Coturnix japonica: one gene and its partner. The protein of the gene in region 1 interacts with the protein of each later gene in a pairwise test. Links are inferred from orthologs where the notes say so. Each region holds a gene or a part of one and is shown on either strand. Other genes may lie near its edges. The genes, in order: ZBTB10 and MOB3C.

What was found.
Region 2: the proteins of ZBTB10 (region 1) and MOB3C interact in binary tests that used the Homo sapiens proteins (3 or more experiments, as listed by UniProt). The link is inferred for Coturnix japonica from reciprocal best matches to the Homo sapiens genes ZBTB10 and MOB3C.

Annotation. Positions count from the first base shown.
Region 1 is NC_029517.1:109,617,878-109,634,170, forward strand, and holds the start of ZBTB10 (zinc finger and BTB domain-containing protein 10), read left to right. Parts: upstream 1-634; coding exon 635-1,540; intron 1,541-8,182; coding exon 8,183-9,080; intron 9,081-16,293. Other genes in the region: translation initiation factor IF-2-like, read right to left, coding at 1-636. UniProt on the Homo sapiens protein: May be involved in transcriptional regulation.
Region 2 is NC_029523.1:19,377,985-19,394,277, reverse strand, and holds the start of MOB3C (MOB kinase activator 3C), read left to right. Parts: upstream 1-5,308; 5' UTR 5,309-5,686; intron 5,687-5,692; exon of another isoform or gene 5,693-6,202; intron 6,203-6,219; exon of another isoform or gene 6,220-9,837; intron 9,838-9,977; 5' UTR 9,978-10,041; coding exon 10,042-10,462; intron 10,463-13,762; coding exon 13,763-13,965; intron 13,966-15,794; coding exon 15,795-15,824; 3' UTR 15,825-16,293. Other genes in the region: ATPAF1 (ATP synthase mitochondrial F1 complex assembly factor 1), read left to right, coding at 1,649-1,744, 2,181-2,288, 2,777-2,971. UniProt on the Homo sapiens protein: May regulate the activity of kinases.

The DNA of each region.
Region 1 (16,293 bases):
GCGGCTTTCGGAGCGAACCGACCCTATAAGCGACGGCCCTAAAGCCTCGCTGGGCCGTTCCCGACAAGCGGTCCCGGTGCGGCCGGTCGGGTGGCACATAACGGTCCCGACCACCCCGCCAGCCCCGGGCAGAGTGGGATCCCTCGGCCCCTCGGTAGGAGGGCGCTGTGCGGGGCGGGGCTCGTAAGGCACCGCGCTCGTCGCTCGCTCCCCGCCCCGCCGCCCCCCGTTCCCCCTCCCTCCTTCCTTCCTTCCCTCCCCTCCTTCCCTTCCCGGCCGCCCGCCCCCCGCTCGCTCTCCCCCTCCCCTGCGGCGGCCGTCCCGTTGCATTGTGGGAGCCGCCCGTTGTTCATTTGCCATTCGACCCGATCCGGGGCCTGTAGGGACGGAAGCGGCGCCGAGCCCGGCCGGATCCATTGTGGGCAGCCCCGCGGCGGCGATCTCAGCCCGGAGCCCGCGGGGGGGGCGGCCCCGGACGCTCGTTTCTCTCGGCCGCCGCCCCCCTCCGCCCTTCTCGTCGGGCGGCCGTTCCGCTCCGCTCCGCTCGTTCCCGCGGGCGCGGCCCCTCAGCCGGGCTCGGAGCGGGGCCGGGGGGCGCCAGGCGGCGGCGGGGGGGCGCGCTCGCTCGCCCGCCATGTTCGCGGAGATGAACCGGCGGACGCTGGCGTTCCGAGGAGGCGGGTTAGTGGCGGCGGCCGCCGCGGCCGCATCGGCGGGAGGCGGAGGGGCCGAGGCCTGGGAGAGACAGGACCCCGAGGCGCCGAACGGGCGCGGGGCGGACGAGGAAGCGGAGCTGGAGGGGCCTGAGGCCGACGAGCCGGAGGCGGCCGGCGACGAGAAGGAGCTGCTGCTGCTGCCGCCGCCGCCGGACGCCGCGTCGCCCCCCGCCGAGAGGAACCGGCGGACGCTGGCCTTCCGCGGCGGAGGAGCCAACAATGGCTGCGAGGCGGCGGCCTGGCCGAGGAAGCGCTACGACGGGCGGGGGGCGGACGACGAGATGGAGCTGGAGGGCGCCGAGGGCCTGGAGCCGGAGGGGCTGCTGGAGGGCAAGGAGCTGGCGCAGGACGGCGGCTCGCTCAGCGACAGCAGCGACGACGAGGAGGACGGCGAAGGGGGCAGCCTCGGAGACGGCAGCGGCGCGGAGGGCGGCAGCTGCAGCAGCGGCAGGCGGTCCGGGGGCGACGGCGGGGACGAGGCGGAGGGCAGCAGCGTGGGCGCGGGGGAGGGGGAGAGCGTCCGGCACTTCCCGCTGGCCAGGCCCAAGTCGCTGCTGCAGAAGCTGCACGTCTCCTTCCAGGGCTCCTGGCTGAAGGAGTTCCCGTGGCTCTACTACTGCCAGGAGACCGGCCTCATGTCCTGCGCGTGGTGCACCGCCGCGGCCGCCGCCGCTGCCCCTCCCGAGCTGATCCTGGCGGGCGGCCCCGTGCCCGGCGGCCACGACGAGCTCTGCAAGGGCACCCGCAACTACAAGCGGGCCCTGCTGCTGCGGCACCACCTCTCCGCCGAGCATCGCCTCAACGAGCCGGGCAGCGCCGAGCAGGTAGGCGGCGGGTCGCCCTCCCTCCCCTTATATATAGCAGGCTCTTTGTTTTAGTTTGTTTCTGTCGGCTTTTGCTTTCACAGAATCACAGAATGACCCGGGTTGGAAGGGACCTCAAGGATCATGTAGTTCCAACCCCCCTGCCTGGCAGGGCCACCAAACATACACATTTACTAGATCAGGTTGCCCAGGGCCCCATCCAACCTGGCCTTGAACACCTCCAAGGACGGGGCATCCACAACCTCCCTGGGCAGCCTGTTCCAGGGCCTAACCACTCTCCTAGTAAAGAACTTCCCCCTAACATCCAACCTAAATCTTCCCTCTTTTAACTTAAAACCATTTCCCCTAGTCCTGCTATTGTCAGCCCTTTCCAAGAGTTTACTCCCCTCCAGGGTGTAAGTTCCCTTCAGGTATTTAAAGGCTGCAATGAGGTCATGCTTTGTCTCCCCCCTTCTCTTTGCCCACGTGCGAGAGCTTCCTCGCACGGCTCCGTGCGTCGAACTCAGCGCGAGGGTCCCGCATCCCCGGCTGCCTTTATCTGGCGGAGGAAAAGCTGCGGTGCGGGCGGCAGTTGCGTATTGCCGGCAATGTTCTTGCACTGATTTACAAACGCGAGTTACAACTTCCTCCTGCGGTACTGGCGGAGGGAGGGTAGTGTCCGGCCTGCGAAACCGGCGCTCACCGCCTTTAAATCGGCGTCGTTTCGCCGTCCTGTTGCCCGGGTCTCCGTACGCCGCCTTATTGCTGCAGGCCAGGGAGTTTCAGCCTTAAACAAACGGGTCGCTTTAGATCGAGTTACTTAGCCAGAAACGTGTAATCGCTCGGTGTTTGTTTGAGATAAACATGTGGTTTCCTGAAAGCTGCGTTAATACGCCGGCATCTCCTCTAACGCTTTTGGATTGGCCAAACTCTTTGTTGTTCCCTGCTGAACTTAGAGTTATTGCAGTTCTTGGCTGCTCTCTGAGTAAGTCAGGGTGAACTCGGAGCTTTTCATCTACATGTGTCCTAAGGGATGGTCTCGTTGAATCACCAGCCTTTCTTCCTAAGGTTGCCTGCACTGCTGAAGCCTGCTCGCATGGACTGACCGGCTGTGGGTTAGGTTCATCCTGGAGCTGTGCTCTCCCAGCTTAGAACTGAGCTCTCCTTAAAGCCCCTACTGTGGTTGTGCAGGCGTATCCATAGTCCAGCTCGTAGCTCAGTGCTTGCACTGGGCATGTTGCTTGAGCACCTTAAGGAGCTCAGGGTACCTCGGACAAAAGCTGCTGCCCTAATCTCTGGGTAGGGCATTAGGATGGCAGGCACCGTAGGTGAGTGTGATATTAGGGCTAGTTGTAAAGGAACACGAGTTGTGCGTGGAACTCCTGCAGGATTGCAAGAGAACCTTATGATTTGTGAAGCAATACCAGCCATTCAGGACACCGTTTGGGATTGATAAAGGCAGCGATCACCTTTGAGATGAGTAATGCTCCCTGTTGGGTGAGTGCCTTTGTGAGCCCGCTGCTATGCATGCTTCATGGCGGTAGGTCACTATCGGTTTCCTGCAATCTGAGGTTTGCTATTTACTCTGCAGTATTTTGGCCTGACTTGCCTTAAATACCTCCAGTTTCTATTTCGAATCTCTCATTTGCAATTTTCCTTCTCTTTATTTTGTAAACGTTCTTTTTTGTTTCGCGTTAGCATGGTATGTTCCCCGCCATCCTGTTATGGCTGATTACCCCGCAGAGGTATGTCCTGTCACTGTGCAGCCTCCCTCCCACCAGATATTGTTACTTCGTGTCACATGTGAAAGTTTCTTTTGCTGCCTGTAGCTATGTGTAAATAAAACATACTCCGAGCAGTTTTTTCTTACTAAACTCAATACTCCGTCCTTCTGTCCTCCTCTCCATACCTTGTCATAAGACTAATTGATATTGGCGAGAAGGGAGCAGCCTAAATGTTAGTGCAAGTAATGATGAGGTTTGGACCAAGTAAGGTTCTGTAAGGTAGCCGTAGCAGTGCTGGTTGTGAATAGAAACAGTGCTGGGTGCATCCCTGCTCAGCTGTGCTTGAGTTAGAAACTTCTTACAAGGAGAAGAGTTCAGTTGTTAAGGGTCACTGTAGGTTTTCTGTGGTGCACTTGTGGGTTGCACTTGCTCTACTGTAAATACGGTTAAGAATCTGTGTTTTCTTTGCGCTTATTGTGTCATTATTTTCCCCTTTCGTGTTTGTAATAGCACTCTTCCTTCTCTAGATCCATATGTTTAACTAATGCCGAAACAATAGCCCTATTTTGATCTTAATGCCTTGATACCAGATACTTGGAACAAAAGTAGGTAATTTGTACCCCGACTGTATTTCCAACATACATAATGAGGCAGCAAAGCCTTTTAAATTTAATGAAATTTGGGAGAGGCCTTTCGCTCTTTGTTTTAGAGACAATGCATATGTATTCCTGACTTGACAAGCTTCAACTGCAGGGCATGTTTAGCAGCTGCTAATAAACATATGGCGGAGTGCCACCCTTCAAGTGCAGAAGGGAAATGGTAGGTGTTAAGACAGTAAAGCAGTGGAAATTTCTGTGGGTCTGTTGGATGTTACGCTCGTGAAGAAGCAAGTGATGATTTCAGTTTATTTTTGGGGTACTTTTAATTCGGAATGCCGAAATGCATGAGTGGTTACAGCTGCTGCAGTTGAAGATATGGAGCTGTCGGTTGGTGCTACTTTCTAAGACAAAAAGCTCAATTCTTTCTGTTTTAGTTTTTCAGCTGGTCTGTGTTGCCACGTTAAAGCTTGAGGAGAGATATAATCCAGTCTGAAGCTACCTTGGGTTTTTTGTTAAATAAGACTTGTTGCAGAGATATTTCTCTTTTAATTGAAAAGAATTGAGACTTGCTGGGAAGTCACTGCCAAATGTTTTAGTTCTGTGATGAATTTAGATCCATGAGTTGCAGATTTATCATCTGTTTGTGGTTCCTGTCCTCAAAGCTGCTTCTTAAAACACTTTTTTTTTATGTGGACATAATTCGAAGCGAGCTTTGGCATCAGTGCCAGGAAAGCTTTCTCCAGCCTAGCGGGTGCGTTGGTTTAAAGCAGAAGCTCTCGGAAAGGAGGAAGGCCCTTGATGTGTTACTTTTTCCATTTGAACTGTAATTGTTTGCTTTGTGCGTGCACTGATGAATAGAGGTCGTGCTTCAAATGTAAAGTTGCATTGTGGCGTTCTAAGTTAACTTACTTCTTGAATTACTCTGGTTGAGGAGGCGGTCAGGCCTTCAGAGTAAGCACCTTCGCTTACAGTGGATTTATGCCGTGTTCTTTCCAGGCCCAGAGCTGCTGGGTTGTGCATTAGGCACTTAGTGCAGCTATGCCGCAGTGCTGTGTTTCCTGAGGGATGCTGACTGAGGCTTGTGAAGCAGCAGCGGAGCATCCTGCATGTACAGCTGATGGGGCTGTTTGCTGAGAGCATCTCCTTCGGCAGCCGCACGTGTGTAAAAACAGCCTGTTTTTTCAGCAGGAGAATTAATTTGGGGGCATTGAGAAGTTGCTGTGGAGCAAGGTGTGGCAATAGGGAAGGGATTGCAAAAATGTTGCTTTACTGCTTTAAATATGCAAACATTTGGGGTGGAATCTGTGCTCAGAGGGCTTTCCTTCACCTCCCTCCTGCTTTCACTGCTAGGAGAGCATGGTGGTGGCACAGAGAGCAAGTTTCTAGTAGTGCTTCTGATCATCCTTATTAGCTTTCAGGTGGCTGTAATTACTGAGCTGTACATACAGAGGAGTCATTTTGTCTTTGGGTGCATTTGGAGACCAGTTGGCTGAATCTGAGCTCAGTTCATGATCTGTTGCACTGCTGCTTAATCTCACCTACAGAGCGAAGCTTTTCAGGCTGATTCTGGAAATTCCACAAACAAGAATGAAAGTCTTCCATTCTATTCTGTGTGTCTTATCATTGTCAAGGATAAAGCTGTTTGCTGGTGAGGTAACCTAAGCCAGGGGAATATTTATGTTTGTATTCTGAAATTACAATTGGCATCTAAGGAAATAGCAGTTTGTGGTTCTCATCAGAAAAACAGTTCCCTTACGGTGATTGCTATGAGCATTACGTGGGTAATAGAACATTAAAAATAAATCCTCTTTATTTTTTTCCTGTAATTATTTTCTTAACTTTACCTCCCATTGAATCGCATTCTACTTTCTCTATGGAGAGGGGAGATGTTTAAAAGTCTCCAAGGGCTATGGCATTTTTTTCATTTTTTCCCATAGTGGATGCTAACTGTGTCACACTTGGTTTACACAGACTTGTTCACTGTTCTGATGGCAGGGCTTTCCTTTAGCTCTTGGTGCAGTGTTAGAGTTGGTTTCCAACAGCAGTTAGTCGCTCATGTTCAGTTCTGCAGGTAGCTGGAAAGAAAATCTGTGTGCTCTCTGTTAACTGCACATACTTATCCCTTTCTACCAGCCTGCACCACAGAATCAGAGTATCACAGAATGACACAGGTTGGAAGGGACCTCAAAGATCATGTAGTTCCAACCCCCCTGCCTGGCAGGGCCACCAAACATACACATTTACTAGATCAGGTTGCCCAGGGCCCCGTCCAACCTGGTCTTGAACACCTCCAAGGACGGGGCATCCACAACCTCCCTGGGCAGCCTGTTCCAGGACCTAACCACTCTCCTAGTAAAGTACCCTGGTACTTTGAATGGTTGTTGCATTATGTCCCTTATTTTCACTTGGCATTCTGTTGTTTTCATAACAAAGACTTCAGCCTCGCTTCTATAGCTTGTGACTCTGCAAGTCCTCATTGCGCTGCCCTTTTTTCCTTAAGGAAAGATGCACTGTACATCTCACTTATTTCTCAGCTGGATTGGTTGCATACACATCCTTACTTCAAACATACTCTATTGCTTCTGTGTAGTCAAACATAAAGAGGAAAGGCCGGCTGCAGAACGATCTTGAATATTGTCTCAGGAAATGAAGACGCATCAGCTATTGTGGCACGTGCCTGACAGTGTGAAAGACAGAAGTCACTGATGTTTGGCTGTGACTAGAGTGACGACACTTCAATGCCATCGCTTCTGTTTTTATTCTGACCCGAAGTCAGCGTAGTCAGAGTTTTGAAACTGCTCCGTGGAGTAAGAGAAAGTTTGTCTGGCTCTGAAATGCTCAGAACTCAGAGGCAGACTGAGCTGTCACATCTAGGGTGTGCTTCCTGTTTCACAGCTCTGATCAGAGGGAGCGCTCGCCTTTGTCAGAGAGCACATAGAAAGAAGTAAGCTGGGGCTGGACAAAGATGTGCCTCATCTTCACATAAAAGCCTAATTGCTAGTCGTGCTGCTTCTTTCCACTGAAGGTTGGTTTTGTTTGTTTGTTTTTTCCCCAAAAAAGTGTAGAGGTTTAGAAGTGAGTTGAACATGGCAGCAAACTGAATTTTCTCTGCAGGGGATACTGGGAAGTTTCTCTTTTGATCGTGTTGGACATTGCTTGCTGCTCAGAGATAGAAAACATCTCTTCTGAAGTATGTAGCTTGACCTCATGATTCTGTGACCTCAGCTGCCATTCTAGTGATCCACACTGGGATTATAACTTGAAGCAAGTGCTGATTTAAGGCACTGATTCCTGTATGATGAAAAGTGGCTTCTTTATATAGTCAATTCTGCCGTAATTCCAACTTAAGGGTAGTACTCGTTTTCAGGATGCATTCTAGCCCCGGTTTATATTATGAGCTCATGAAAACCCACTAACTGAATCTGACCTGTAATGCACTCGATGGCATCTATCACTTAATATAGGTACGATCTCTTTTTGTTGTTTTCTGCTCTCTTCTGGCTGCTTCTCTTGTAACAGATTTGGATCATCACTGTCTAAACAAAGCAGTGTAAAATGTACTTCAAGCCTCTCGTTACTTCAGCTTCTGCCTGAACTAATTATTTAGGAATTCATCTCTTGGTGTTTGATTGTCTGATTCTACTGCTGGGAAATGTCTGAAGCTGTTTAAGATCATTTCTTGAAAGGCTTGTGGAGAGGCATATAAGTGCATGTTGTCGGTATTTTAACCAACTAAAGGTGGTGTTGCTGGGAAGTTCCAGTGTAGTTTGATTCAAGTAAGTCTTGGCTAAGTAACATAATGGAAGCCTGACTTTTGTTTGGTCACCTGCAGCATTCTGTTCACTTGTATTACCAGTATTTAATCTTAAGCCTGTACAATGGGGACAGGTTGGGAAGATAAATTGATCATCTTTATGTATTCATCTCTCAGCATGAGCAAATGCTGAGTCTGGATCAAGGTTCTTTATTGACTGAATGAACTGGGAATGTGAGAACCATCTAGATAAATCTCAGACTGCAAATCTTTAATGTACAAAGTCAAGTACTTCATTCTCATCTAAATCTTATTTCACTTTTGGCCCAAATTTTACTTCCTTTGTCCTTATGGCAATTTTCTTTTAGTTTTGTTCCAAATATGGGAGGAAGATGCAGTCTGAGAACGTGATTCTTAGCTGATGGAAATGTTTTTTCAAACATGTGTTTCAGCCTGCGTTTATAACCAAGATTCTAATTAAGAAAAAATGGAGTAGCACTATCTTCAGTTTGGTATCCTTTTAATAGTGTTGCAGGACTAAAGAGAGCGTTTGTGAAAAGCTGATTGTTTTTCTTTCTAATTCCAGGAGTCGGAGTTACCGTCAGAACTGAACAATGAAGGATACTGTGATTTTAACAGCAGGCCAAATGAGAACTCTTACTGCTATCAGCTCCTGCAAGAACTAAATGAGCAGAGGAAGAAAGGCATTCTCTGCGATGTCAATATTGTGGTGAGTGGGAGGGTCTTCAGAGCTCACAAGAACATCCTGGTTGCAGGCAGCCGCTTCTTTAAGACTCTGTATTGCTTTACAAACAAAGAAAGCCGTAACCAAACCACTGTTACCTATTTAGATGTTGTTGCTGTTCAAGGTTTTTCTGTCATTTTGGACTTCTTGTATTCTGGTAACCTCGTGCTTACGAGCCAAAATGCCATTGAAGTGATGTCAGTGGCCAGCTACCTTCAGATGACGGAGGTTGTCCAGTCTTGCCGCAATTTCATTAAAGATGCCTTAAACATAAGTATAAAATCAGAAGCTCCAGAGACTGTTGTAGTGGATTATAACAGGAGGTCTGTTAGTAGGGATGGTATGTCTCCAAGGGATCAGAAAGTTGCCAGCTTCTGGGCAACGCGAAATCTTACCAACTTGGCAAGCAGCATAAAAACTGAGAACGACGGTTACTCTATTGACGAGGCCCAAATTGAAAGCTACCAAATGAATGACTGCAGCTGGGTCCAGGACAGCTCACCTGAAATGGCTGAAAACGAGTCTCAAGGTGAGGGGAAAGTTTTTGTGTGGAATGACGTGGGCTCACAGGGACAATCAGTTCAAGAACCTGGAAAAGCGAGAAGGAAAAACCAAACTGCAAAAAGATTTATTTATAATATACCGCCGAACACTGAAGAGAACTCAGAAGATTGCTCAGTGTTGCAGCCGTCAGTCCCATATCCAGAAGAAGATCTGTCATTCATTAAAGAAGAAGCAGGTAAATATTGCTTAATATCAATCATATAACTTAAAAATTTCCGAATCACGTACATGGCAATGTAATTTCTTTACAGGTATGGTGGGTAGGGTGTTCTAGTAAAATCAGCACTTGTTTAGCATTATTCAGCAACTTGGTTCTCCTTGTGCTGCAGCAGTGCGTCTTCAGTTAGAGAAAAGAACTGTCCAACCAATCTCATGTGGTACACAACATGTTCTTTATAACTGATGTTTGATTGCAGGTCCTTATCAACTAGTAGAAGCTAAAATCTTCGTATCTACGTTTCAATCTCTAGCTAAAGTTAGGCACAAAATCAAGAAGTGATAGCTGATGCTGCTTGCTGATTGCATGGAGATGGCCTTATGAATTTTCTTCTTTTCACTAACAAAAGATTTTTGTGATCATCTCCTTGAATCTCAACAAGAAGCAGAAATCAGCATTCCACTACCGTTGTCTGGATATCTGGGAAACTGCAAAATGGAGTAATACTGCCTATGAAGTCTTAAAACAGATAGATTTGTGAAGCAGATGGGAAAGAGATACCACAACAACATGTAGTAGAGAGAAATGACAGTTTGCTCAACTGTCCTTTAAACAATCTTGGAATGTGACTTTTCATGGGGTTGTTTATCTGTTGTATTTTTCCTCAAGGGTTACTGCTTATTGAAAGTGCTAGAATAAGATTAAATGTGTTCTAGGTAAATACTGTCGCGTAGAATTCTAAGCAGACTGTTCCTGGTGTATTTGGAACTTGGGGTAATATAGTTTTTAATTACCATTATGTTGCATGAGTAGCTGAAATATGGATTTGAAATACTGCTGTATCAGTTCTAGGTGGATTAGCAATCTTGGAAGTATGAGTTCTGGATATTTTTAGTTTCATGTTTCTGAAGCATTTTAAAATGCATGTCTTTTTCAGATATCTCAGACGCCTGTGAATGACCTTTACTTCTCAGGTTTAGATGGCAGAACTTGGAGGGGGGGGGGAGAAGGGAATAACCCATGTGTAAATTAGGTAAAACAAACAAACAAAAACCCCCAAACAAACTCAACCAACTAACAAAAAACACCAGCACTCAGACCTTGGGTGCAGAGTATTTCTGTGGAAATTTTTGCATTCCAGTGATGAAAAAAAGGAGATTTGAAAGCGGCTTGAGATTTCAGGAATGCCTCGGAAACCTGTCTATTCTGGTGGAAGTAGAGGTGACCTTAGTTCGTTCTTGTACCCCCAGTCTCCTTGAAAAGCAAAGACTGAAAGAAATCCTTTCAGGAGTGCTGTGACCAAGCCAATTGTACTGGGGCCCTGGAATGCCTTTGCCCACAGTGTTAGAAGTCTATCTCTGTTGCTGGCAGCTGCTGAGGTGTGAGGAGGCAATACGTGAATAGCAGTCCAGCAGCGGGCACGTGATATCTCTGCACTGCATTGTACTGCTGTGCATTTGTGTATGGCATATACGTGAGCACCGCAACAACATGTGACAGTAGAGTACTGCAGACTGAAGCTACGGGCACCTATATTTGGTGAGAGCAGGAGCAGACAACACAGGAGATGGATGTGCTGTTAGCGAGCAGTGTGACACAACAGGAGCAGATGTGGGAAATCAGAATCGGCTGTGCTAAGGAACTGACACTCACTCCATAAATGCTTGAGTGGGGTTACTTGTCTCTGGGTCAGTAGGCATGTCCATGCTAGCTTTTCAGGTTAGCCTGAGAGTGTACTCTTGTAAAGTGGATTTCTTGATCTTCTCTTAGTGTACCTTGATTAATGTTGTGAAGTATTCTTGGCCTGCAGAGAGTTTCTTCTGTGTGAAAGGAAAATGGAAGCTGTGTTACAGAAATGTGCTTGTTATGTGCCAACCACTGTCAGGCTTTGGATCCACAGGGTTAGATCTAGCCTGATGTAAAACAGCTCTGAATGTGTATGGTAGGGCCTTCAGTACCCATATTAACAGATCTATCTACTCATGCTGTGTAGCACTACTTGCTAGCATGCATTTAGCTGCAGCAGCTTTAAGAAGGGCAGCAGGAAAAAGTCTGGAGCAGGAATGGGGATCTGAGTTGTGAGAAATTGCACAAATATCAAGTTTCTGACGCAATTTAGTGCGTTTTCTACTTCTGATTTATTTGGGTTAGGCAGTTAAGCTTTTTTTACTGTTTGAAATATTACAGGGAGTAAGTATCCAGCTAACAAATGGCTTGTTCAGCAACAGAAATAAATGCTTGTTTGCATTCTGCAGACTTGATATAGGTGTACTAGAGCTGTCTCATGGAAGCGTAATGGGTGGTGGGGCAGTTCAGCGATGATTGAACAAGTATTAAACTTGTTCAGTTGTTTGGACAGAAATAGAATCATAGAAACATAAGGTTGGAAAGGACCTACAAGATCATATAGTCCAACCATCCTCCCATTACCATTGCTATCACAAGCCCCTAAACCATATCTCACAGCCCCTCATCCAGATGCTGAAGCTGAGGTTTCCAGTCGTTTGTTGTACTGCAGAGTTAACTTGTAAAATATATTTCATTCTACATCTTGATGAAAAGAACTGCATTAAATGCATTGAATTTATGCTGTGGTGTCAGTCCAAAATCATGGAAAGCTTTATGATCGTAGAGAATGAATTTATTCTGTAAGTATTGTCAACTAATGATCTCCTTGGTACTTTGACTGCAACATGAGAGGTCTTAGGTAAATAATTACATGTTCCTGTCAGTACTAGAACCACTTTGGAAGCTATGTTTAATATCTTTGTACTAAAACCCTCTACAAAATTCTTCTGTGAGAGATGGTGGAGGTAGAGTATGATATCACTTACTTTAGTCTTAGTTATGCTTCAGTAGCTGGTGTTTTCTCCTTTACTGTGTGCAGGTTAAGTAAAAGTAGATTCCATGGATGACATGTGCATTTGTTCTATAAAACACTCTGTAATTCTTTCCTTCAGATCCAAGAAAAGGTGCGAGAGACAGGAGAGAGAGAGAAGAAAGAGTGGGGAATTGGAAGAATGACAAGAATGGGTTGTAGAATAACTTGCAGGTTACATGATAACTTTTCAGTTGTGGATTAAGTTTTTTGTGAAGATAGAAAAATGAATAGGCTGTTAAAAATTCATGAGAAAATGTTTTTTGGAACACATATAAGACAGTGAGTTTAGAAGAAAAAGAATGAATAGTAGATTCCTGTGATGCAAGCTAAGTAATACGCTTGCTGTCTCTTTGGTTGCTGAAAGAGAGAGAGTGAGCTTCTACTGTTACACTTTGCGGTGTGCTGATGGGGATAACTAACACCAGCTGTGGTTATTAGATGTCTGATTACATGCAAAGTGGGTTGCTGTGTCCTTGATGATGGTTTTAGGTTGTTTGGCTTTTCTGTGGGGTGAGAAAAAGTACCATAGGTGGTGGCATGGTGGAAGGGAAACCAGTTTAAGGACTGCTGCTCTCATGAAAGCTTAAAATGGAATCCAGTGCGTGGAGAGGGAGAAGGAAAAAAAAAAAAAAATAGCTGAAAGCCATTGAATTAAATAAGATTCTAAATGGAGTTTTTGATTGAGTACTACTAGGTAAGTGTTAGATAAATTGTACTAGAAGTTTTCTCAGTGATGCTGTTTCCTCGTATCCTGGTGAAGCAAATGTGAATGTGAGTTTTCTTGCAGATAGCTATGAGGGTACATCAGTTCTCCTTCCTCTGCATTACCAGTGGGTTTATATTTGACACCTTTCCTGTAAGCAGTAGCACTTTGGGCTTCAAAAAAGCTTCATAAAGATGAGTTTAGAAATCAATATGACATTTTTGCTTCATTTATCTACTTTTACTGATGCTTTCAAATGTTCCCCAGGTTTAACTATGGGAAATAAAGTAGCTGAGTTCCTTCTCACTGAATTGTACAATCTACTTTGCTATTTTTCTTTCTAGTTAATAATCTGTTAAAAACGCCTTTGCTGTTGTTTTTAACAACCAGGGTGCATCCTGCAATTAACCATTTACCGAGTTGGAAATAACAGTGCATTCAGTTTGTATCTTTTAGTCAGTTTCCAGTTGATGAAATCTCAGTGATTCTAATTAATATTTTTAGTGTCTGTCTGTAGATTCTGTGAATTCACACCACTTCTGACTAGTTTTTTCATTTGAGTTTGTGATTTGGAATACATATTCTGTTTGTAGACTTCAGAACAAAACTGTCAATTACTCCTTACGATTTCCAGAGCTGACAGTGTTGAATCTTTAGAACATATTAATGGGGTATTTGGTTGGTGTTGTGTAGCTAACACCAGATCAATTCTTTGCATGATTTTCAGGCTACATAATGTTAGGTTATATATTAGTTTGATGGCATCCGAGGAGGGGGTAACAAAACAAGATGAAAACAGCCTTTTGTGGAAAAAGGTTTTTCTGGGTAACTTTGTAGGAGTTCCTAGAGAAGGATTTGAATTCAGTTGGCTGGAAAACAACTACTTTTCATAACGTTACAAGTAGTGTCTAAAGCTGCTTATAAAAATGTGCTAGTCACAGTTTTTGTCATATGTTGCTCCTTCAAGTCATAACTTGATAAACAAGTTTTACTATAGAATTAATTAACTTTGTACTTGAAGAAATCAAGACTGATGTGCTTGCCTGAACTGTGGCATATGAAGAAAACTAATACAGCATCAGGAATATTTTTCTCCAATCTTCTTTTGTGGTAATATACCCTGATTGGACAATTAAAATTGCTTAATGAATGTTTAACCTCTCTATTTGCTCCATTTCCTATCTAATAAGGAAATAAAGGCCCCATGGATTTTGAAAGACATCCAGAGAGAGTCCAACGATCAGGAATCTGGCCAATCCAGTAAATTTGCCTCTCTTAGGGACGGTCTGGAATACAGGTGGATTCCCATGTTCTGGTGGAATGGACATAAGGACAGTTGTCCTTATGACTTTAAGGGATGCAATCAAATCACAGGCAATATTTGAATTATAAGAAATCATCAATCTGAATTGCTGACTTAATCTTTCCATTACCTCGACTATTTAAGAAATGATAAGGATTGTGGCAGCAACTCCATAAAGAAAAGCAGAGGCTGCATTTCTTCCAGATTCATTTGGGATATGCAGCTCTGGCTGCAGAAGTTAGCTGTGCAATTCTTTCAGATGTATTCCCTCCTGTGCCTCAAAAAACATATCTCAGGAAGTCAAATCTGATTAATTTTATAACATGTCGAGCAGTGAAAGTGATTTTGATACAAAAGTCTAAGATCCTCTTGGATTGCTGCTGACTTTAAAGGAGCATGTTTAGAATACAGATTCCTTAATAGATTACATGTATGAAGCCAAAAGTCTGGTAAAGGATTTCTAATAATAACTGTCTTCACTGACACAAAAACAGCCATAAGATTCTTGCTTAACTTCCAGATTTTCTGCATTGTCAGACCTGTTCAATTCAATTAAACTACTGTAACTCCCTATGAGAGGTTTTACACTAAAGTGACTTTGTCTCGTAAGGGTTTATAGAAGTATAAGTGAGTCAATTCCTCTTCAGTTTCTTGGGGTTGACAGGCCTCAGGGTTTGACTGGTTGTTCTTTTGCTTTTATTTCTGTTTTGTTTGAGGGAAAGGTTTGGTCAACCTCAGCATTTGTAGGTATGGTATAATGGGCTGTAGATTTCAATTGTTGTTAAGTTTGACTAGGGAATGTTTCCTTTCACTGTATTTTCAGTTTCTCCTGTTGAGTTCTTGCTGTACAACCATTCATCCTCTGTGCACTGTGAGGATTCTGAAGTCGTATTGTACAGGTCTCAGAGTAATTTCATGGGGTTGAAGAAATTGAGATGGGCACATTTCTTCCTTGTGCCGATTTCTGGCAGGCATCAGTAAATATACACAGCCAGAAATGTGTTTGCATTATGGAAACTTTATACAGTAGTATTCTACTCATAGTATGGCAAGGTTATGTGATTTGTTTGGGAAGATTTTCGTGTGTGCTTCTTGTTTGTTTTGCACAAATCCGTGTTTTTACAGATCTGTATCTTAGTCTTGTACCTTCCTTTTCTTCAAAGCTCTACGAAAGGACAAAATGCTTCAGTATTCCTGGTCAGGGTTTGGCAGTGTCTGACTAGAATGGATGATCCTGAGGTACCCATTTTGGTCAAGGATGCTGCTGCTTCTAAGACTGCCTGCTGCTAGAGAAGCTAAATTGAAGTATTATTGAATATTTTCTTAAAACAACTTAGGATATAACATTGTTCTGACCTAAACAATCTACACAGCAGTGGTATCTGTGCTTGTGTCTTTATGTAAGAATAAATACCAACAGAGACATGTATGATTATTATTTTTGTGATGATTTTCTTGATTTAATTTAATTATTCCTTGAAGGGCCTAAGAACAACATGTAGCAGATGAAATGGTAGCAATAGCAACTCTCGATACCAGTGCAGAAAGAGCAGCTTTACTTTGTGGAGAACCCTTGTACTAGGGCTGAAGTTGGCATAAAGTTTCCTTTTTTACTGGATGCCTTTTCTTCTACGACTCTGCATCAGTACAGCTGTGTAGTAACTGAGGAAAAGAACCAAGGGCCCTTTGGGAGCAGCAAGTTGAATGCGAGTCAGCCATGCGTCATAGCAGTAGTGAAGGCTAACCTTAGACTGTCAGAATTAGCAAGAACGTAGCCAGTGTGCTGGGGGAAGAGGTAATTTCCCTGAATTCAGGGCTTGCAAGACCACATTTAAATGCTGTGCCCTGTGCAGGGCAGCCTAGGATGGGAAAGGTATCATTAAGCAGGCGAGTGTCCAGTGGGTGGGTACTTAAGGAAATAGGGAACTGGAGAAATGTTGAGGAGAGTCTGTGATACTGAATTTATTTAGCATAGGGAAGCTGGAGGGGTGTATACCTGCAGTCTGTCAGCATCTTAAGTGGATTTATAGAATATGAATCCAGATACTTGCCCTTCTGCTGCACACCTCTGAAAAACATCTGTCGCAGCAAGGGAAATTCTGCCTGTCCACAGACCGGACTGTGAAAGCAGTTTTGCTGGAGCAGATTGTGTACTCCATCCTTGTAGACATTTAACACTTGGCAAGGCTCAAAGCGAGATATAATCCAGCTTTGAAGTTAGCCTTGCTTTGAGCTGGGTTGATCTAGGTGACCTTCAGAGATTCCTTGTGATCTAAGTTCTTCCTTGTTCCCTGAGATCAGTAGCTCCTCCACAAATAAATGATGTGGATCGGGACAGTCCTTA
Region 2 (16,293 bases), on another chromosome or scaffold:
AGATCCACTGTGTGGTGATGTATAGTTGTAATGCATTTCTCCTGTCTAAGGCCTCGTTCATAAACTTTTGACCTTCTTTTGTTCGTATGCTTCGTATTGGCTCAGTAAGTAAAATGGAGGCTTGCAAGTATTTGTCACAGTGTTCAGATAAAAGCTATTCAGGTGCACTGAACAGTTGATCCAGTGTCAGGTGTCTGGATTGAAGAGGTGTAGTGTTCATAAATGTAAGCACAGAATCTCCCAAGGAATGATTTCATAGAATCATGGAATTGTGTGAGATGGAAGGAACATTTAAAGGCCTTTTACTCCAACTTCCCTACAGTGAACAAAAGCACCTTCAGCTCCATCAGGTGCTTAGAGCACCCGATGCTCTCATCCAGCCTGACCCCTAAATCTAGGGGTGGGGGCTTGGAAGAGCTGCTAGCCATAGCTATGTGTCACCATGGCATTAGACTACACCTACATAGAGAACATGAGTTCTCTCATCTCACGGTTGATGTGAATTGTTCTTCTTTCATCTTACATTCGCTTGCTGGCAGTAAATAAAAGTAGAAATATCTTTAAGGGAGAACTGCAGTAAAGAATGGTGTTCTGTGTAAGTTCCATTCTAAAGCATTGTAACTCAAGGGTTGTGACAAGGGAAGGAAGTGGGGAGTTGGGTGTAGTTGAATCCTTTGTTACATACACAGAGTATAAACATTCAGTGGGTTTTACCATATGTGTATGACAGCACAACAATGCATAAAATACTGAGGATTCTTGAGATTAGAATTCACTGCTTCTCACGGGGGCTGGTAAGTATCTTGTAAGCCTCAATTAGGGAATTCCTATTGCTTTGAAGAAACTGAACTGCAAAGGATAGGAGCAGCTAACAAGATGATGTTTCTTTAGTTTTGTACCATGTAGTGCTGGATTAGTATTGTTTTCTGCTGAAAGTGCTGTGTTTTTACAGTCATTTGTGTGCGGTGAAGCGTGGCCTTTGTGCAGATTGCACTTGCTAAGGTAGAAATTAAATCCTTCACTGCTTTATAGAAACAAAGGGGTAGCTAGGCTTGTAGATCTGAATGAGAAACTTTATCAAATTGATGGCTTGGTCCTGTGTGTTCTGTTTGCCAAGATCAAATATGTCTGGATTCCTGAGTTACATGGAGCTTAGGAAGTTAGAGTTCTGAGTGTGTTTCTGTGCAGTCCATTGGCAGTTAGTCAAGTATCCTGCTTGTTTCCTGCTCCTACACTGTCCTTCCTCTTGGTGTGGGAAAATGAGCAAGTTCCTACACTATGGAGCCAGACTGTAAGCCTCAAAGAGAAAGTGCTTCTTGTTCTGGAACAGGTAATAAGGTAACTGTACAGAACTGGAAACTCATCTTGTTTGTGACCATTTCTACTACTGTTAATTTTTTAGAAGCAAGTTGACAGGTCATTGTGAATGTTCCCTATGGTCTTTTCCTTAGTCTCATTTAATACTGATAACAGTATGTCTCAGTGTTGGTGATTTACAACTGAAATGATAGAGTAGAAAGCCTTCCCCCTTTTTTAATCTGCTGTAGTTCTCTCTGAAGAGTTGATGTTGGAGGCCAGTTTGACATTGGGCTTTAGTTTGTTCTATGAAGTGGCCTCTTATTTATTTTTTTTTATCACTTCTCTGCAGTTTCTATATGCTTTGCCAAGAAAAGAAGGCTATGAGTTCTTTGTGGGGCAGTGGTCAGGAACAGAGCTGCACTTTACTTCTCTAATAAACATTCAGGTGAGTGGTGACCATGACAAGTCTAAAGATGGCTTTGGGTCTAGAAATATACATCATTTCTACTGAATAAACTGATGAACACATTGTCCAGCTTAACTTGAAAACAGTTATCAGTGAAAAACTGCTCTTAATTGTGGGCATTCAGTAAATTTATGGTAATAAGGGTCTCTTTCTTCAAAGAGAGAATCAGGTAGAAATTGAGCAGTCTCAGAACAGAAACAAGAGCCAAGCATTTTAGAGTTGTCTGTACAAACTGTTCCGAATACCAGTAGATGCTACGAAATGCAACCAGAAATAATTAGAACTGACCCTTAAGCCCTGAAAAATGACAGTTTCCATAGCAGCTAAGACTCAAATGTTTTATAGTCGAGCCTCTAAATGTGCAGTAAAGCTGAAGTTCTTTATGGGATACCAACAGTTTCTTTCCTCCCTTCAGACCCAAGGGGAAGCTGCTCCTAGCCAGCTGGTTTTGTACCATTATCCTGAGCTGCAGGAGGAGAAAGGAATAGTACTAATGACTGCAGAAATGGACTCCAAGTTCTTGGTAAGAGGAAAAACTTTCATTGATTTCCCTCATGTTAGACTGCATCATTTCTCCTATAGTTGCCTGGAGATGCAGTGTCAGGCTGGACAGGGCTCTGAGCTGTAGGTGTCTCTGTTCACTGCACAGCAGTTGGACCAGGTGGCCTTTAATGGTCCCTTCCAACTCAAACAATTCTATGTTACTATGAACTGAAATCAAGTTCAAATCTCAAGTAGACCCTTTCCCAAATAGTACTAGATTTCCTTAACCTACCTATTTAGTAATCTAGGGTAAGTTAGAAGGAAATCAGCAGACTTTGGCTGTCTGCTGTTCACAGTTCATATGTTGTTTTTACTTACTCTGGTTATTGTAGTTTATTTTTATGAAGCATTAAGAAAATTCAGAAGTATTTCTGGTCTTGTTAATGGAATTAAATTTATGGAAGTGGATCTTTTTCAGTGGGAAACAGCAGAACTCAGCATTGACAAGTTCTTCCTTTTAACTCGCAGGTGGTCCACGAAGCACAGTGCTTGGCAAATCAGGTGCAGCTCTTCTATGCAACGGAGCGTTCTGAGACCTATGAATTAGTGGAGACCTTCAACCACAGATCCAGTGAATTTAAATACATGTCAGTTATAGCAGAGCTTGAGCACAGTGGCCTTGGAAAGGCGCTGAGACCTAATCAGGTTTCTGACAAATCATAGAGCCTGGACCTGCGAAGAAGGAGCCAACAGCAGGAGGAAGGGTTTCTCACCTGGGATGCTTCCCATCTCTTGTATTGTGAATTTGAGTTGGCTGCAAAAGGGATCTGGAAACATGCTGGAACTGTGATCATCAAGTGGGTCTGGTGCTGATGAAGGACGAGGATTTGGGTCATTCAGGCAGTGGTAACTAATTGCTGGACTGAAGCACTTCAGCGTAACTTTGTCAGGATGAGCTGTTCCCTCATCTCTGACTTATGCTGCATGCTGTATTTTTTCCTTGAGATCTGCAATGTCAGAAGGGCAGCTACATAATGAAGTGTGTAGACATCAAGAGAGAGAGCAAACAATGTTTCTTCTCTGTAAAATGCATTTCAAATGCCCTCTGCTATTATAATTGCATGGTCTAGTGCTTTTAATTTGTGAGGAATTTATACAGACTCGTCTATCAAGAGAAAAGAATAGGTCTGGTGGTCTAAAACAGACTCCTCATTGTTCCTCTGTGTGCGAGGTTCCTTGTGCAGATGTGTACCGAGGCCCATGCAAGAACAAAGTGCTTTGGGTTTGTTCTGGGAGTGTTTTGCTTCTTAATTGATGCATTCATTTCATCTTGTTGGGTTTCTTAGAGACGTTTTGCTTGAGGAACAGGATAACGTGCTTTGATTTCTGTGTATTTTTGAGTAGTGAAGAGGAATTACTGCGTGCTTTTTAGAGTGATTTTTCTCGCTTTGGCATCTACTCAGCCAACTCTACAAATGGTATTTAAAGAGATTAAAAAATAGCACCTGTTCCCATTATCGGGCCCTAGAAGAGGTGGAATTGATGAGCCGATTCCAATGAAGAAAACAGCTCTGCTATTGGAAAATGCATTTATGATCCGTGCTGAGCCTAAGAGATGGTGAAAATGAATCACTTAGTGTGGCTGTGTTCTGCACAGCCAGTTTCAACCACTAGAGGGAAGATGTTTCCTCATTCTGAGCTACCCGAACACAGTTTACAAAGCCTGTCTTCTCAGCTTTGTTAAATCAGTGAGTTTGGTACTGAAAAATGCCAAGATGCCCAGGCTTCTATTGTATGGGCTAGTATTGAGAATGCAATGGGCTGTACTGAGTTATACTGAAGGTTCCCCTAACCCTGTATCCTAGGTGAGCTGCATTGGCAAGGGTGCAAGGCCAGAGTAAATCCAGCAATAGCTTTCCTCAGTGTGGGAAAGACATGGATCTCTTGGAATATGTCCAGAGAAGGGCCACAAAAACGATGAGCAGGATGGAACACCCTCCCCTATGAGGGCATGCTGGGGGCTGTGCAGCCTCAAGAAGGGAAGGCTCCAGGGAGGCATGAGAGCAGCCTTGTGCCACACTCGTGGTGCCTTTAGAGGCACAGTGCCCTGCTCCTTGTGGCTGTGTCCTGGCGTGAGGCCCTGCTGCAGTGCCGGCCTCTTCCCATGACTGCCCATGGGGCCTCCTGGAGCCACCAGCGCTCCGGGCCCACTTCCTTCCCTGCTTCCTTCCCCCTGATAAATTCAGCAGTGCACCTGCCTGCGTGATTGGGCCAGGCCGCCCTCTTCCTTCCTCTGCAGCAGACAAAAATGCACCTTCAAAAAGATGGGCTGGTCCTTCTCCTTTGGCTGCTTTTTTGGCTCTGATTCTGATTCACTCGGACGTAAATCATGGCTGTGGGTTCCCTGTAGGTTCTGTGCTGTCCGTCACCTGGGGACAAGGGTGGACTCTGGTGCCCACTGTGCCCTTGGGGAATGGCTGAGGATGGAAGAGACCTCTAAGATAACTCAGTCCAACCCCAGTCCACCCTGCAGTGCCCACTGACCACATCCTTCAGTGCCACATCCCCATAGTGACACCCCCAACACCTTCCTGGGCAGCCTGTGCCAGTATATCACAACTTTAACTTTCTCTGGTGCAACTTAAGGTTATAACCTCATTTCACCTCCATATGTCACCTTTTCTGCACAGACTCGCGCTGCATTGGATGCCAGTTCCATGCCCCTAGCTAGACTGAATCGCAACCACTGGTGAACCCTATACATCCTCACTGTGTCCCCAACTGCTACGCAGCCCCGAGCTGCCTGTAGCCACATCCTGCTGGTGACTGGGGATGTTTACAGGTGGTTTGCTTTTTAAAGGCTAGAGCTGAACCTGTGGTTGAGAACCCCATGCTTCAGGGAAGGGGAGCTGCAGCCCCACACCAATGTTGTGCTTCATAGCCCAACCAAAGCCAGTTTTCTCTGTGGACTGAAATAAGTGTTGGGGGGGAGGGAGGTTCATTTTTCTTTTTTGCTTTTTGTTTTCATTTCTCCTTTCTTTTTTTTTCTTTCCTTTGGAAGGCATCCACTCCATCCTGCCACTCAACCCTTCAGTGTGCCAAGCAGGGAAGGATGATGTGCATGCCCGTGGGTGTGCACATATCAGCCTGTGCCCTGTTGCAGGAGGGCAGCAGCCTGCTGGCGTGTCCCTGGGACAGCTGCAGCTCCGGCAGGGTCAGGATATGACATTACTAGCAAAAGAAAAACCCTCAGCCCTCACTTTCTGCAACCAAAACCTCAGTCAGTGTGCGGCTGCTCTTCATGCTGCAGGGCGTCCTGCCGGATTCTGGGCTTTTATTTTGAATGGGTTTTTTTGTGTTGGTTTTTTTTCTTCCACTCAGCAAGAGCAGAAAGTGCGGCGGGGTTGTGTGCTGGCAGCCAGGCGTGCTGAGGATGAGGTGAGTTCTGGGGCTGGAAAAGGGAGTAGTGTCGGCATCCCAGCTGGTGCTGCGTCCCCTGCAACCCTAAGGATGCTCCTGGGGTGCTTTTAGTGCAGGTTGGGCAAAGAAAAACTCAAGAGAAGCAAAAATGGGTGCTTGCAGGAGTTCTTCCCCCTTTTGTGAGTGTCCCGGCTTGGCTGCTAGCATGTAAATGCCGAGGGATCCTGGTTTGCAGCTGTGGGTTAGTGCAGATAGCTGGAAGTGAGCAGGGAGCTCAGTGTTTTGGCTGGCCACCTATCCTGGGGCTGGCAGCAGTCCTGGAGGTGGCTTTGCCATTGTCTAGTGGAGGGCAGGAAGTTTTGGGCAGGGATATCTGTAGGGATGCACTTCCAGCAGCTGTCTCGTGTCCTTCCAATTGTCTTCCTGGAGTTCTGGCACTTGGGATCGCGGCTCTGATGATGGAGCGATCACCCTCAGGACTTACTATGGCTACAATCAAGTTGGCAGCAGCAAAACTCCAGCACCAAGAATAAGGTACCCCAAACAGCATCACCCCTAAAGTGTGCTGGGTGCCCCACCACTGGAGAGATGAGACTTTGGCTGTGGTTTGGGACATGGGGGAGATTGGATGAGAGGGCTGTGTGTCCTCTTCTTGGAAACTGTGCTGGGTTTGCTTTGTATGAGGGTGGGGATTTCTGAGTGTTGGCAGAGATGGGAGAAGCAACAGCATGAGGAACTGATCCTCCTTTGGGAGCTGGTCCCTCCAGAAACGGATGCTGGGGGCTTTCCCAGTGGATGCTTATAGCTCTTCACAAGTATATCTGAAACACACAGATTAACTCTGTGTTGGGGCTGGTGGGACTCTGCAGTCCTGCTGTCTGGCGTGCTGGCCCTCCATCCCTCTCCTGGCATCTCATCTTGGCTTGTTTCCTGGAATGTTCTATCGTTTGGGTTATATTTGGGATCGGCTGCCAAGAACCCCCGTTTCTCATGGCCAGCCCAGCTGGGGTTTGGCTCCAGCAGGAAGCGTGAGGAGAGCAAGAGGGGCCAGAGCCCTAAAGCCATGCCCCAGCATCTTCCTCCTGCATTTAAACCCCTTGAAACCAACCTCTCTACCTCTAAAGCCAGACTGGGTTGTTGCGTGCTGTCAGCCCCAGGCTGGAGCTCAGGGTTGTGTTGCCTGCATTGTGAGGGATGCTCAGGGGAGGCAGGGTTGGGCTGGGGGGCATTTCTGCAAGGCCACCACTGAGAATCCTCACTTGCACAGCTGCTCCAGGACAAGTTGAAAACTGAGTTTTAAGGACATAGTTTAGTGGGCATGGTGGCGACAGGATGATGATTGAATTAGATGATCTTAGAGGGCTTTTCTAACCTTAATGGTGCCATGAAAAAAGCCAGCAGAGCCCCTGGTCAGCAGGCAGCTGGATGCCGTCTGTCTGTCTCAGGGCTCTGGCTCACTGCCCCGACACCAGGCTTGCCATGCAGGGACGTGGCAAGAGGGACTGCCTGCAGAGCAGAGAAGGCAATTCCCCATAGCACCAAGGGGGAGTCCAGCCTCTGGGGGAACACCCGGGGAAATGCACAGGGGGGATGTTGCAGGGTGGGCAGGTTTGAAGCACAGCTTTGCTATGTGGTGCTGGGCCAACCCCTGCTTGTGCTCCCCAGCATGGCTCTCAGCATGCAGTTCCAGGGCAGATGTTTGTGCAAGTGTGTAAGTGTCTCGGGCTGGATCCAAGGCTGGCTTGGGCACCAGACCCACTGCCAGCTGGAGGTGCTGTGTCAGAGCCTTTCTTCTTACCCTGGTCATTATCATTAGCAGCACTCACAAAGCATTTCCTCTCCCCTGAAGCCAATTCTTGGCTTTTGCAGCCCTTAAGATCAGGGGGGGCCCATCAGCAGGGAGAAATTACTTTTGAAACTGGGGAAATTGAGGCAGAGAGTGTGGCACTGTCTCTGCTATAGCTCAGAGCTCAGCACTGCCCCAGTCACTCCTCCCCACTGCTTTCCAGATTGAAGCCAGTTTGGGGTCACAAAGGCAGGTCTGCCCTGGTGTCTTTGCTCAGACTGGTGGGACAGATGGTGGTGGGCAGAGGAAGCTCCCCTCCCTACTTTGCTTTTTCCCCCCCTGCCTTTTGTTTTCCCAGTTTCTAAAGACATGGTTTGGTGCTATTCTTAACTTAAAACAAAGCCTTTGTTTTAGCAGTGTTGTGTGGCTTTCAAATGGTTAAAAAAAATAACAACAACCCCTAAAACTAAAGAAATAGAATCCTCCTCAAATTTGGAACTGGCAGCTGCCTTTGACCGTGAACTCACTTCCCTCCCATCCAGTTCATTTCCTTTCTCCCCCAGACCTGCCAGCCCTCTAGGAAATCAGGATTTCGCCTGTCCCTGCCTGCTTTAAAGCCCCACGCTTTAACCCTGTGCTGACTTGGCTCCCTGAGCCCTTAGTGCATGGCTGTGGGTGCCAGCACCGCCCCACCACCATGGGAATGGCAGCACAGCAAAGCGGGCTGCAGCCATGCCAGGGGGGGAGCTTTGATTTTGCACATGGGAACGGAAGGTGGGAGCTGCGGGCACTCACCCAGGCCCCTCGGCGGTGGGATGCGTGCTGGCATGCGGCAAGAGCTGCTGCCTCAGCTTGTCCCAGTGCTCCTATTGCAGGGCTGTACCCCGTATTGAAGCCCCAGTCCTGGCCTCCTGCAGCTCCAATGGTGGATTTTCCTGCTCATCAGACCCTGTGCAGTGGCAGCTTTGAAGAGAGGTTAGGAAAGGATCCGCTTCCTGGCACGGTGCCTCCGCCTGCTCCTTTTGGTTGTAAATCCCAGGATGTGTTCTTGGCTTTGTGTTAAATTGAATTGCTGGAGAACGCTTTTTTTTTTCCCCTCCCTGATCCCAGTAAGGATTCACGAGGCCTTTAAATGGCTCAGTAATTCAGTAGCGAAGTTGGCAAGGATCCCAAGAGCAAAACCACTCTCATCATCCAGCTGTGCCTTTCTGCAGTGAGCTCAGGGACGGCTCTGCTCTGCATTTGGGGCAGCACTTGGTACTGCTCCCTTATTCCTGGGAGCAGCTAACAGATGTACAATAGGAAAACATCTGGCAGGTGTTTAGCAGGGTTCTTATTCTGTGTTTCTTTGTTTTTTAATTGATGTTTCATTGATGTTCCAAAGCATCGGTCCAACCCAATGCAGGAATAACTTGATGTTTCTCCCAAGCTCTGTGATGGTGGCAACACATCACTGTACATGTGGGGAAGGCTCTGACTTGGCCCCACTGGCCTTTGGTGGCACCCGACAGGGCTCTCCCCTGCTGCTATGTGGAAAGCCCCACATGACAGCTCCTGAGTCCTGGAGAGACTCTGGGGGGAGCCCAGGGCTCTTCCAGCAAAGTGACTCTGCTGGATAAAATAGGATTTGCTTTTGGCTTGGGACTGAGTTCACAAAGTAGTGTTTGTACAGCAAGCTTTTGGCTAAGAGATGCCTTTTTAATGACAAATGCACATCCGAGCTTCACTTGGACACCATTCCCTCCCACTCGTGACTTCGGGTAAGTCACTTCCCCTTTCTGTGAACCATCTTTTTTCTTCAACTCCTCCTCCCTGGGGGAGGCTGCTTTGGGGTCTTTTACCTTCCCAGACTTCAGCAGGGCACTGAACTCACTGTGGCCTTGCTCTCCCATTATTAATGCTGCAGAGGGACACAGGGCACGTGCACATTTCAGCCTGTCCAAGCACACGGGATTTCCACTGGAGCTTCAGGAAGGAAAAAAGGGAAATGCTGCAGACCTCATCCGCACCGGGCAGCCTCAGGAAGACATGAACTCAGTGCTGCTGAGCACTGACTTCCAGGTCACATCCCCTGTTCCCGGGGTGCTGTGGGATTGGAGCGCCGTGGGGAGAGCTGGCAGCATCAACTCCCATGCATTGTGTTGCATCCTGGCCATGGTGTGCTTGGATGCTGTTTCCCTTCTTTGGCTGTGGGTTTTGTTCCTCTGAACAAACACACGGGCAGAACAACAACAAGAATCTCCCCTTTTCCCATTGATCTGGGTGCCGGAGCTGTGTGAACCAGCAGCCAGCTGCATTCACTGTGTTGTCCCATTGGTACTGGGGCTATTTTTATGGGGAAGAGGCACAGTCCTTTTGCCAGGAAGGAAAGGGCCGCAGGTAGGTGAGTGCTGTTGATACCATACTTCATTATCGTAGTTCTGGACAAAAGCCCTGGAGATAAGAAGCTGGCTCCCAGCATCCCACTTCTATCTCATCTCAGACCAGGTGCACAGATGACCAAAATTTGTCTTTTCCTTTCAGATACCTCCAACCCTGAAGATCCTCAGCACTGACCCTGGTGCCCTCACCCTGGCTGGCCCAATCCATGATGGCATTGTGTCTGAAGCAAGTCTTCAACAAAGACAAAACCTTCCGTCCTCGGAAGAAGTTTGAGCCTGGCACTCAACGCTTCGAGCTGTACAAGAAGGCTCAGGCCTCCCTTAAATCAGGGCTGGACCTGAAGGCTGTGGTACAGCTGCCTCCTGGTGAGAGCATCAATGACTGGATAGCTGTGCACGTGGTGGACTTCTTCAACCGCATCAACCTCATCTACGGCACCATGTCAGAGTACTGCACGGAGAAGAGCTGCCCTATCATGTCGGGTGGGCTCAAGTATGAGTACAGGTGGCAGGATGATAGCAAGTACAAGAAGCCAACCAAGCTGTCAGCCCCGCAGTACATGAATCTGCTGATGGACTGGATTGAGATGCTCATTAACAACGAGGACATCTTCCCCACCAGAATAGGTGAGTGTGCTGTGATTCTACAGGAGACTGTTGTTGTAGGTTTCCAAGCTGTTGGTGCACCTCTGGGTTGGTATCGCTGAGCTTTTCAATCCTAAGAGCTCTGCTGATGACCTGCTTTGGCTGGGAGCTGTAGTGACTGACACTGCCCCTTCTGAGCCGCTTTCTTGTAGTTTTGGGGTGATGTTCAAGGGTTGGAGCTGGTGTGTTGGCCAGTGGGTTCTTGTGGAAGGCAGCTATCACCTCTTTCCTTCACTTAAAGGGGGCTGTTCTGGTTGCACAAACACATTTCCTTTTCCAAGGCCATTACCAGGTTCTCTTCTTCAAGCATCTTTGTGCATCCCCAAGTGACTTCAGCCTCCTTGCTGGTGTGCAGCTGCCATAAATCTTCTCCAGCTCTTCCAGATGACCCCGTATCAATTAGCATGTTCTAGTGCTCATTTCCGCTCTCCCAACCAACATAGCTGGGCTGGAAAAAAGCCCCACTACATGCAGAGTAAACATTGTTCCTGTGGAGGGATAGGAATAAGTGATTCTGCAGGCATATTTTTTACCAGCTGGTAAAACTATGTCCATAGACCTTTTCATGAGCAGATTACCACCTGTACAATAACACTATCTGAAGTGTCTGCTGTGCCTTTGCTTGCTGGCAGGAGAAGTCACTTTCAGTTTCATTCAGTGTCTCAGTGAATGCCCAGCAGACAGTGTTAGGTCCATTGGTAATACATGGGGAGGAAGCTCTGGTGGATGGAGTTTGCAGGGCCATGAGTCCCATGCCAGCACTGACGTGTATGCAAAAGCTCTCCATTGTTAAATGAGCACAGACGTGGGGCTTGGATGAAAACCAGCATTGGAAACGCCCTGTACTCTTTGCCAAGCCTGTCTGTAGCTGGAAGGAACGTCACTCGTAGGAGGCTCTGGGATGGTTCTTGGAATGATCCAGAGACCGGACTGGATGTTAGAAATAATCTTAGCAGCAATAACTCATCGAGCAGCTTGTTGAATTACTGCTTTTTGGAGAGGGTAAAATACAATTGTAAAAAAGCAAAATAGTTTCACAGCGCTGTTTTCATCACAGAAAAATGCAATTGGCTTGTGTGTGAGGGCTGGGGGTGAGGGAGATGGTGAGGAGGATCCAAGGCCCACTCGTATTCCCTTCCCGTAAATGCAGACGCTTTTCATTTCCTTTTCCACGCAGTCCCATGTGACTTCCTTATGTTTTGAAGTGATCAGCACAGAGTGTGGAAAACAGACTTCTCTAAGCATTAAATCAGGTCTTGGGTTTCAAGGAAAACATCCAAGATAAACTTGAAGGTGCTAATTCATTTTGGGGCAGTGAGTCACGCTACGCACCAGTGCCTTGATGAAATAGAACCTGATGTATTTACAGCTCTTGCCCTGGCTTCCAGCACTTGTGATGCTCTGTGCTTTGCATCGCTGCTCTGCTTGGCTCCTGTTGGTACCATTTCTGCTGTGCATACAGGAGGCCCATCAGCCTCTTCCCTAGATGGGCTTTAGACTGAGGTCTGCGTGTGCATAGGGTGAGGGAGAGATTTACTTTGGAAAACCCAGATGATGGAAAAGAGAAGAGAGTGAGATGTTGGAGAAGGGACTCAGAACATGCAGTCCAGAAAAAGTCTGTAGCAGTAGTGATGCTGTAGTTAAGAGGTGACCTGTTGGAGTCCACTGGTGACTCCCATGGACTCCATTGGTGACCAGTCACCAACACAGCTGGGCCACATTTGCAGAGGACAGCCACACACTGACACCTTGTGATGGACACAGGGAAGAGCAGCACAGCTACACATCCCAAGAGATGTGTGATACTGCTGGGTTCATTTGAAGCCACAGCAGTGGATAGCCCAGAAAGGTACTGTTAGGTCTTGGCAGCCCAATGATATCTTTCCTGATATCAAATTATCATTAGGAGTAAGATGACTCGGTAGCTCCTGTAGTTGCTATGCTTCTCCATATAATATCAGTGCTTCTCACTGCCTGCTTTGAAGGGAGGAGGTATCAGGCAGAGGACACTGACAAACTGGAGAGAACACGTGCACTGCTGCCTGCCTGCTGGCACCTTGCTGAGCTCCTGGCAGCAGCTGCTCATCCTTGGTCTCAGGACAGGCTGTTCAGAACAGTGTGTATTTCTCAGCTGTGGTCTGGGAATGTGCTCTCATCGCAAATTACTCGCCATGATGGGTTTTTCTTTATTAAAAGAAATATTTTTATGGCTAGTTCCTCAAATCTGGTCTACAGGAGCCACCCTAATAGCATGTTTCAGGCCCCTGCTGGGTGATTAGGGCTTTTAGTTGCTCAGCGAATTCTCACTCGGTGCAAAATGCTCACATGAAGCCTTTGATAAAGCATGGTGTTTTTGCTGGCTGCAGGGAAGCCCAGCAGATTGATTGCTCGCTGTCCTTATCAGCCAGGCAGAAGGAGCAAGCCCCACAGAGAAGGGGTCAGGGCAGAAGCAGATCCCTTCATCAGTGACATGGAGAGGTGCTTGCATTTGGCACAAAGCCCTAAGAGGAGCTATTAGAATCCTAATGGGTGATGTCAAAGATTCCACTGGGTTTTGTACTGCTGCAGGATGCAGGACAGTGGCCATGAATCTCAGCCCACTCTCCATGTAGGAGTGTGTGCTGCTGAGTCCAAGCCATCTACCCATGGCACAAGCAGCCCAGCCTTGTGCAAGGTGAGACCAGGCTGAGTGTGACATCGCTCCAGACCAAAGATAACCTTCTGTTACAAGTACTTTAACAGTAAGCTCAGTGAGGAAGACTCAAATGACCATTTGTATTTTTTTAGCTAAGAGGTGTGTGAGCTGGCTGCATTAGTGCTGCATTAGTAAGAAGCCAAGGGAGGAGACAGGTAGCACCGTGGGAAGGGAGGATTTTATTTTGCTCCATGCAAATTTGCTTTGAATTGCTCAGGGGAGAGAAAGAACCTTCAGGAAAGGTTCCACTTGGTTCGTGTTCAACCTTCCAAAAAGTATATTTCAGGGGTTTCAAAGCCGGGTTTTCTGTAGGCATTTCCCTTAACTACCTGACACTGGCTGTGACACCTCTGAGATTTTGACTGTTAGAACAATGTATTTAGATAAGGATGTAAATGGAGAGTAATAAATTGTGTCCTTGCATAAGACAAAGCTAAAAGTAGTCATTGGTGCACGGTGGGTCCTGTTCCTGAACACCTTAGTGGGATATTTCAGTAGGGAGCTTTGTACAGGTGCAATGGCATTACAACCTTAAGACTGCCATTTTAATCTAAGTCAAATGGCTTTAACTTGCTTCTGCTTTGCAGGTGTTCCCTTCCCCAAGCAGTTCCAGCAAGTTTGCACTAAGATCCTCACCCGCCTCTTCCGTGTCTTTGTCCACGTCTACATCCATCACTTTGACCGCATCATCCACATGGGGGCCGAGGCTCATGTCAATACCTGCTACAAGCACTTTTATTACTTCATCAGGGAGTTCAGCCTTGTTGACCACCGAGAGCTGGAGCCTTTGGTAAGGATGCCCTATAGATGGTGAAGAGGACAAGGTCAGAGCAGTGTGGGTTGAATTCAGCTCCAGTAAATACAGGCAGGGTCAGATTCAACCCTGCGCAAGACATACAGCTTCAGATAGCAGCTAATATGAGTCTAGCAGGAGTTGCACTGCTGCCTCCTTTGGGAAGCAATTAAAACAATTAGCCAAGCAGAAAGTGAGAGACCTTGGACACAGCACAGAGGGGGGAGGTAAGGGGAAGAGATGTGCAGTTCTGACACATAAACTAGAACATATGCAGTTTTGTAAGAAAAGCAAATGTGTCACAGGCTGTGTTGAGTGTGGTCTGGCTTATACAAACCTGTTGTGGTGTGGAGGATAATAGGGAACCCAGTAATTAGCACGCTGTGCAAAGGGATGGGCTGCAGCACAGGAGAGTTCAAAGACAAATTGCTGAGAGAAATCACAACTTGAGCTGCATGTTTATTAGTACCAGGGATGCCCCTGAGTGCTAAATGCTTTAACTCTTTTTCTGCTTTCCTTTTTCTCAGTCAATTTGTTGCCTCCTCTGCTCTGGTTGCAATCTGGCAGGCTGGGAAGATGATCCAACCAGGGGACACCTAAATGACAATAGCAGACTCATTAATTAATTACTTCATATAGTGTGATTTTGACCTTTGTTATCACAATGGTCCTCAGCCACAGGAAATGACAGTTCAGCATCGCTGTGTCCTCCATTCTTCTTCATAACCATTCTTCTTTAACATTGGTATATGGCCCATAATGGTGTCACCTCCTTTGACTGATGCTTGCTTATGTAAATAATTAGCAGCTAATAGCCAAAGCAAAGGCTGACACTGCTAAATAGGCTTTCAGTGCCAGTGACACACATGCAATGTGAGATGATTTATGGTTCTGGATGATTCTAAGATGAACAGATTTTCCTGTGTGATGCAACTAAGATCAAACTACAAGGAAACAAGGCACACTTCTCACTGGTTATGTATGTCTTGTTTCCTGGTGTGCCCGTTTCTTGGTATCCACTACTTGGAATCCACACCCTCCAGCAGCCTCTAGTGCCTATGAGACCTCCTTCCATTCAGCAATGACTTGCTGTATGTGTGCAGGAGAGTGACCTGCAACCAGAGAGGGCTGAGTCCTGAGTGCAGTGCTGGGCTGGGGAGCAAGGACATGGTCCTGAAGATTAGGAAGTGGGGTAACAGCGTGGTGAGAATGATGCAGAGACGCTGCATCTTGGCACTGCCAGCAGTCCCAAAATCTGAGTGGCAAAGAAAAGCAGCCTGTTAGCCTACACAGAGCTTACTCTTGTCATTTTGTCCCTCCCTGAGTTCAGCACTGATAGCTCAGGACTAGGTTTTGTAGACGAAGCATCTGGGAAATGACAGTGAGAGGAGGGAATTCTGGCTATGGACGCTAGAGCCTGAGTAGCTGCTGGAGGAGCTGCTCAAACTGAAGAGGCATGCTTATGTATTAGGGATATCACAAAGCAGGAGGAGACCCCTGGAGAAGGACTTCAAGCTAACAGTACTGAAAGCCAGAGATGTGAGTTGCCAGGAGGTTTTTTGTGGCCCTTTGAAATTAGTGCTCATTTGCATTATAGTACAGTCATGGAATCCCTTGCCAGAACCACAGGCCCCTTCAGTGAGCTGCTGTCACCACCTGGAGGGCAAAAAGGGCCACCATGGGAAACAAGAATGCTCTCAGTTTCCATACAGCCACTTCCTTGGATTGTTTTTGGGTACCTACCAAACTGCTTTGCACATCACTTCGCCAAAACCTGTGTTTTGCACTAACTGCTTCTTTCTTTTTCCCCCTCCCCTTCAATGCAGAAAGAAATGACAGAACGAATTTGCCACTGAAGCCATATCAGCAGGCATACTCAGCAAGATCGTTCAGCATTCAGAGAATGAACCCTGCGGTGGGAGATGTCTTCCCAAGGACTTGCTCTGGGCATTTCAACTGTACTATGAAAACTGCAGAAGAGCCTTTCTTCTTTTTTTTTTTGTCTCCGGATGCATCAGTCTCCAAATGTTTTGTTAGCGAGACCTGCCCTGTAAGCAGGTGTGACCTTGGCTACTGAGTCATGCCTGTTGCTTTTCTCACACGCATTGAACTGTGATAACATCTGAGATCAGCTCTGCAAAGCTGGTGACATTTGATCCCAACTGACTCCATGAGGTTAGTTGCCAGTGTCCCATTTTTAACCACCACAAGCTATGAATGTTTCTCCTCCTGTCCTCATTCATACTTTACCAAAGTGACTTCCACCCCCCCACCCAAGGAATTTTTCATGCTTGGCAGAAGGGACTTGAGGATGTTTTAAGATGC